2 linked regions of the Danio rerio genome follow. The protein of the gene in region 1 interacts with the protein of each later gene in a pairwise test. Links are inferred from orthologs where the notes say so. Each region holds a gene or a part of one and is shown on either strand. Other genes may lie near its edges.

Region 1 (4,316 bases):
TGAGTGTGTATGGGTGTTTCCCAGTGTTGGGTTGCAGCTTGAAGGGCATTCGCTGCGTAAAAAAATATTTTGGATAACTTGACAGTTCATTCTGCTATGGTAACCCATGATTAATAAAGGGACTAAGCCGAAAAGAAAATGCATGAATGAATGAAGTTTATGAATAATTTAACTTATGTGCATTTGTCTGGAGGAGTTTTATTAAATTCTTAGTATTAAAACCTGTTAGTCTTTTGTGCTACTATACTGTTCCTTTCTTCATTAGAGGGGTTTAAAATAATGTATGCCAATAACCTCAAACATGGTGGCACAGTGGCTTGGTGTTAAACACTGTCACAACACAGCAAGAAGCAAGGTTTGAGCCCCAGCTGGCTGGGTAAGTTGGTGTTTCTGTGTGGAGATTGCATGTTCTCCCCATGTTCGCATAGGTTTCCTCCGGGTGCTCTGGTTTCCTCCTTGGACCAAAGGCATGCGCTATAGGTGAATTCAATAAACTAAATTGGCCGTAGTGTTTGTGTGTGAATGAGTGTGAGTTTCCCAGTAACACCCATACACTCTTATTCACACACATACACTACAGACAATTTAGTTTATTCAATTTATCTATACGTGTCTTTGGACTTCTATACATATAATATAATAACCAAACCCCAAAAGTATATGCACTTTTCTTTTTCTATCTTATAGTTTGAAGATTTGTATTGGAATGAGCTAATGTAAATTGGGCCAAGAAAACAACACATTGTGCTGCAGTGGGTAGCGCTGTTGCCTTGCAGCAAAAAGGTCGCTGGTTCGAGCCTCGGCTGCATGGGTCATTTGGCATTCCCCGTGTTTACGTGGGTTTCTTCTGGGTGCTCTGGTTTCCCCCACAGTCAAGACATGCGCTATAGGTGAATTGGGTAAGCAAAATTGTCAGTGAGTGAATGTGAGAGTGTATGGGTGATTCCCAGTGATGGGTTGCAGCTGGAAGGGCATCCACTGCGTAAAACATATGCTGGATAAGTTGGTGGTTCATTCCAATGTGGCGACCCCAGATTAATAAAGGGATCTGAAAATAAAATGAATGAAGGAATAAATAGAATCGAATGTGGAGGACTAGTATAAATAAAATATATTAATGAGATGATATTCCTTCTAGAAACACGTTATTTTAAAGTAAAAATTCAGAAGAAACAAACTTTTTTTCTTTTTACTGAGTTAAATTTTTTTAAAGCCTATTAGGAGATAGTAGGCATGTAATTAAAGTTATGTAAAATTCATCTCCATACTGGTGGGCACGACTGCAGGGTCCCTCTGCTGGGTCGGCCCCCGCCTGTGCACTGACGACAGTGGGGCAAAAGAGAGAAAGCGAGAGGCAGACGTCAGAGAGAGGGATATGCAGCCCGCCATACAGAAGTGTATGGGGCAGTGGATGTAAATAAACCGTGTACAGTATCCATACTTTACTTATTCCCACCCCCTTTTGCCTAAGAGACGGGCTTGGATAATGATCGGGGTAAAAAGATTATGGGGGCCACTCAAAATTAAACTGATTACGTCCGAAATCTGATAACGTAAGGGGCCTTCTGAAAATCTCATTCATCTTTGGGAATCGCAAAGTCCTCGTAGCGGCACGACAGAAGACACCGCAGGAAAAAGGAAGGAGAGAAAGAGAGAGAGAAGGGTGAGGACCGGGAGCACTGGAGAGCTCGTCGCCGGCTTCCGGACATTTCGGGGCGGCATTAAAATCGCAGACGTCGCTCCTGGAGGGAAGGAAAACCAGATATCTTCAGCACTGGACTAAAATTTCTGGAAGCAGCAGCTTTTGATTCAGCGATGTCCAGGAAAGTCCAGAGAAGCGAGGTGTGCGCCGACTGCAGTGCACCAGGTAAGGCTGAGATTTATGGATCAATGCGTTGTTGTGAGCCATGGCTGTCCGGGACTCGCCTGACCGCGGCGGATTGCGGAGGAGTACCAAGCCCGCGTATGCGAAGGGATACTGGGTTAAGCGCGCCAGGAAAAATGCCTAAAATTAAGGCCGATTCTGCGGCCCAACAAATCAGATTTTAAACGCACTCTTAACTTATATGTATCTTTGTAATGCGGTTGAACAGTGGTTGTTCAAGAAGTACAATCTTTTAGTGTATTCACAAAACTTGCATGACTTTAAATTTGGACTGCTTATTCCTGCTTTGCTGCCGTGGCTAAAGTTTTACCCCTTCTCGTTGTTAGCACCCATCCCAAGTTAAGTTGACAAGCCTGCGAGGTGCTGTCAATTAAAATGACCATATTTACTCCACACTTAGATTTGTTTATATGCAGATATTGTAGCGACAGCTTACTATATATTTAAATTGTGTTTTAGTAAATACTCCGCACTGAAAGCTCTATATATCGAACAATGCTAACTGTCAGTAGGCTAGGCTTGGTTGCTAAGTAGCCTGCGGACTCTCATTTGAGTCTCTTCCCAGTTTTAAGTAAAACACGTTTGTGTATTTAGAATCAGTTTTTATGACTGCAAGAGGTCCTACTTAAACATATTCGGTACATTTTTTGCGAATTTAGTTAGTATGAACATGGGTTGAGAATAGATAGATAGCTAACTAGCGCTAGCAGGTTGACAGGACACATCTAACGTTAACTCTGACGTGGGTCAGTGTTCGCTTCTGTTTGCTCTTGTCCACTGAATTGCTTCTAGATAACGGTTGTGTTTGTTATTCTTTATAATAAAATTAATAGTGGTTTAAAATATTATTAGACAAACTGTTTTTGTAGTTACCGCATGGTAACGTTAACCTTAAATTAACGATATGCTACATTAACCGTAGTTTAACTTTGGTTTGACAAATTGTAGTCAATGCACTAAAACATGTGTAATAGACTTTTATTATAGAAAAACTATGAATAATTTGATAGTATGTTGAGTTAACTGATAGTATTGCATTTAAATGCTGGAAAAAATGCTTAAATCTGGTCTTTATTTTACTGGTCTTAGTTGGTCTCCCAGTATGGCCAAGCTGTTGTGTAGCTGGTCTCCAAGCTGGTCTCTCAGCATGACCAGCTTAAAAAGTCCCTAAAAACCCACCTAAAACTAGCCAACAGACCAGTTTGACCACTTGGACACCACCTAAAAGCTTTAAACCAGCTTAAACTGTTTTTAGCACAACTGCCATTTAAAACGTATCGCTACATATTTCCATATTTCTGTAATAATTATGAGCAGTGGGTGAAATCTATCAGCGGTAATATACAAATTTAAGATGTTTTTAGATTTTTTTCTTTTCAAAGTTACTAAATGGGTTTGTCCTAAATAGAGCATAGGTTTAAATTATTTATAGCCATTTCTAGTTCCATCATGCATGCCTTAAGACACAATTTCCTGAAACCAGGGTCAACTTCCCTCTTTTTCCCTATAGCATTTTTATTTTAAATAAATAGGAACTATGTCGTTCTCAGCCATTTGTCCTCAAATGCATTGCTCAATAAATTACCAACAAGCTTAAACCAACCAAATAAAGACACAAGACCGCCTTCAGTTGTTTACAAAACATGTTTTAAATGCTGCTCAGCTGTGCCGTCACTTCAAGCCCACCCTTGGCCTTGCTCATTTAGTCTCACCGTCCCCATGGGGGGACCGAGGGGTGGTACGGGGGGCATGACAGCTGCTCTCTCATCCACAGCTGCTCTCTGCTCTCCACAAATGTACAAGTGTGTCTTGTTTTTGACAGTTTAGTTCTGTTTCACCTCTTTGGCTACCTGCAGTCTTGCTGTGAGCTCGACCAAAAGCTGTCACCGATGCCTGTGGGTTCAGTTATCAACAAAAATCCCCACCGATAGTAGTCATACAGTGCAAGAGCCAACATATTTATGGCAAGAGCGGTTTCTAGAAACAAAAATCACTGACAACATGTGCATGCATGTTTTTTTTTTATTACACTATGTTAAACCTAGCAGCAAATTGATTTGAGATTAGTTTAAGCTGTTAATGTTTACAAATGTCATTGATAATAACAATAATTAAAGCACAATCGATTTTTACGTTTTGAAGTATGTCATCTCAATGCATGTCTTCATCTGAATTTATCTGTTAGTGTGTGTGTAATTAAGTTCAATACTATTTTACATGGTGTTCTGTTGATTTATAGTTTGTTATTCAGTATTAATTTGAAGGTTTATCGTTTAATTAATAATTTATCAGTAAGTATGGTCTATCTAGCTATCGGTTTTAACAAAATCCAACATCGATTGACCTCTACTACTGCAGTGCACTAGAGCTTGTCATTTTCGTGTTTAACATGTTGTTGGAATGTAGATAATGGTAAGTGTGTTGAAGGCAA
Region 2 (3,657 bases), on another chromosome or scaffold:
GAGGCTGGAACCAGTGTCCTTCCTGCTGTGAGGCAATTGTGCAACCCACTGCGCCACCGTGCTGCCCCTTATTTGTATATATTCTATGTATTATTTCTTTTGATGTATTTATTTAATATAATTTTATATACTTAATATTTGCTTTAGATTTTTTTGTTTGTTTAATATTTATTTTAATCATCATTGAATTTTTAAAGACTATATAATTTTACTTATAGTCTTTTATTTTTCATTCAAACACTGCTCTTTCTTTAAAAGTGATTAAAATACACCTGTTACATAAATAGAAAACAGTAACACAGTTCCTGATGCTTTTAGTAACCAAGCTGCCAACAGTCATACAGTGTATGTTTATGAGGACCTTGCCGTTTGTGATCATTTATGTATGTGTGTGTATCTTTTTCTCCGTGCAGTCTTCCGGAAATGTGTGGGTGACTCACGAGGAGATGGAAAACATGGCAACCTCTACCAAAATGGTTAGTCCATCTGGGTGACTCCCTCGTGCCTGCGGTGCCATGCATATGCCACGCTTCCGCAGCCCTCACAACCCCCAGCCTGCTGCCCCGATCCACCCCAACCCCTCTGCCCTGCAAACCACCAACGAGTGCGCTTCGTAAAGCCTCTGCATGCTTCTGTGTCACTGCTGTCCTGTCGCTTTGCATAACCATTAAGTACTGTTTTTAAAGTCTCCCTGAAATCATAGTTTACATTTCTAACGTTGTTGACATAAATAAATAAATAAATAAATAAATGAATAAATAAATAAATAAATAAATAAATAAATAAACAAAAAGTCTTCAGGTTATCTGTAAGCTAGCATGCTCCAAAATAGTGACAAGATTCCCATTTGGAAGACATAAGCATATTATAGCAGCCTATGGGATGCTCAGTGGGTTCAGGTTTAGTACATCCAAGATGGTAGTTAAGTAATGCATTTAGTGTGTATGCTTTAGTAAAAAGATTGGTCATTTAATCTTGTTTTGAATTGAGAAAGTGTGTCTGAGCCTCGGTCATTATCAGGAAGGCTATTCCAGGAGTTTAGGAGTCGTATATGAGAATGCTTAATCTTTTTTAGTGGACTTTGCTGTTCTGTGCACTACAAAAAGCCTTGAGTTTTGAGATCTTAATAAAGTGGGTTGAATAATATATGCGAGTCACCTTAGACAGCAAAATGTTTCAATTATATCATAAATGCTTCCATTTAAAGCTGGAAAACTTGCTATTTTTATAGACACTGCTATTGCAAAGTTTGCTGTAATGAGTTTGATGTTTTTAGCTCACTGACTCTTGCTGACAGAGGTGTGATATAAACAAAATTATATTAGCTATTAAAAAAAGAGAAGGGGCTATACTATACCTAATGTTTCAATTTTAAATTATTTCACACATTGAACAAGCATTTCAGGGGAACTTTAACTAGATTTGCAGTACGTGTTACCTATTAACGATGAGCTCAGATGTTGTTGTCTGGTGTTCAATTGATCTCCTCTGCTTTTGCTGCACTCATTGAGTTCTTTAACTGTAGAAGAGCATTGCTAACACTCTCTGTCTCATTGCCCAAACATGCTGACTCAAAGGACAATGAGGAGGGAAGCTGGGCTCAGGTGAGAGGAATGACCAACTCAGAGCCTGCCACTGACCTCTTACACCTGGTTTAACTTTAGTTCAGCCTAAATGTTCATATTGAGAGTTGTCCATTAACTTCCATATGAATTTAAAATTCCTTTTTGTCATACTGAAATGTATTGTAAGAAGTTCTATACTATTTGTATTATATGTGTAAGTGACACAAAGACTTTGTTGAAATTTGTAATTATGATGACATGAAATTTTATATTATTATTAATATGCTATTTCACGTGTCAAAAATACATGCATACATAAATACGTACAAACATATATACATTTTATTTAGTAAATTTCTGTCACAATTTTATCTACATTTTTGTTTTTTTATGAATAATATGTATTACTAATTAATAATAATAGTATTATATTACTAAAATTTTAATAAATAGTTTTAGCATCTTTATAATCAAACTATTTTTAAATATTGTATGATTAAAATATTGCTATATATTTACTACAAGTTTACTTAATTCATATTTTATAGAAATTTTAAATAAAATTGACTAATAATAAATGGTTTAAATATGTGCATAAATAATCTATATAATATATATTAAATAAATAGTATAAAAATTAAAAATATATAATATTTATATAAACTTTTTGTCAATTTAAATAAATACATAAATACAAAACAATTCAAACATTGTATATATTTTTGTAATTATTTACAAGTATTATTTAAAAATATAAATTTTTATATTATTATAACTCTTTATAATTTATATATTTATATTTATATAATTTCTATGTAGTACATAAACTTTTTCTGTAAAGGTATATTTTATACACATTTTATATTATCTATTATAAAACTTATTTATTGACTATTTAATATTTTAAAGCTGTGTATGATGCAGATGTCAGATGCACAGTGAACTGTTGTCTCTCTTGTATCTCAGACACTGGCGTATGGAGACATGAACCATGAGTGGATTGGGAATGAGTGGCTGCCGAGTCTCGGTCTTCCTCAGTATCGCAGCTACTTCATGGAGTGTTTAGTGGATGCTCGAATGCTGGACCACCTCACCAAGAAAGACCTGCGCACACACCTAAAGATGGTGGACAGCTTCCATCGGTAAACTCATTTTACAGGGGACATGTTTGTTTACTCACTGTAGCAGCTGGAGATTTCTAATGTGTGACCAGAAAAAAAATTACAAATGTTCTGTTATTGTACCGAACAGAAGAGTTTCCATAGACTCCAGATATATGAACTACTCAGGACTACTGAGAAGTTTAATTTTAGAAGGAAATGTGCCAAATTTGTCTGTAAAATGTTATATATATGGCAAAATATGATTTACTCTGAACTGCTTCACTAATGAAGGTCAGTTTAACTTTCCGAAGGAGGCACCGAAGGAGGCACCAATACTAGGGACTCATTCTGGAGAAGCATCTTTTTACCAGCGTTCCTATGACAGGACATTTCTGCTTTTCCAGTTAGCATGTGTTATGAACTGTGTATGAGCACATATCCACAGAATTGAATATGGAACTAATTTTAAAATATTTTTCGGTATTCATCCCCAGTCAAAATTAGCACTGTGTTCTAACTTCATATTCGAAACAAGCACAGTATGTCACTTAATAATTTGAGAACTTTTCCAAATGCCTTCTCTGAATGTGCTCGTTAGCATTCTGTATGGCTTTTGTGGCTAAAATTACCATTGACTGTATTCACTGATGACAGTTTTATCCTGAAACTTATCTTTTCTCTAAAAACTAGAGAATTGTGCTAAAAAGTTATTAATATAATGTTTATTAGTTATTACTGGCATTTTTGTTATGTGGAATTCAATTGTTTTATTGTTACCAGAGTGCCAGATTGGAGTGTAAAGGCTCTGTTCTCTTCTTAAAAGCAGCAGCTCATTTGCATTTAAAGGCACACATACAACAACAATGCTAATTTGCGCTCACACAAGTAGGGTCAAACTTGACCTGCAATAATAAATGATCTTAAGCTGAAATTCACAAATACATTCTGGGGTGCAGCAGAGATTTATTTACATCTTATTAAAAGTGTCA

What was found. The genes of interacting proteins can lie anywhere in the genome.
Region 2: the proteins of git1 (region 1) and ppfia4 interact in a two-hybrid assay, tested with the Homo sapiens proteins (2 studies listed by BioGRID). The link is inferred for Danio rerio from reciprocal best matches to the Homo sapiens genes GIT1 and PPFIA4.

What each region holds. Positions count from the first base shown.
Region 1 is NC_133190.1:30,984,550-30,988,865, reverse strand, and holds the start of git1 (ARF GTPase-activating protein GIT1), read left to right. Parts: upstream 1-1,363; 5' UTR 1,364-1,815; coding exon 1,816-1,867; intron 1,868-4,316. UniProt on the Homo sapiens protein: GTPase-activating protein for ADP ribosylation factor family members, including ARF1.
Region 2 is NC_133186.1:24,673,875-24,677,531, forward strand, and holds part of ppfia4 (liprin-alpha-4), read left to right. Parts: intron 1-413; coding exon 414-476; exon of another isoform or gene 477-604; intron 605-1,577; coding exon 1,578-1,604; intron 1,605-2,531; coding exon 2,532-2,707; intron 2,708-3,657. UniProt on the Homo sapiens protein: May regulate the disassembly of focal adhesions. May localize receptor-like tyrosine phosphatases type 2A at specific sites on the plasma membrane, possibly regulating their interaction with the extracellular environment and their association with substrates.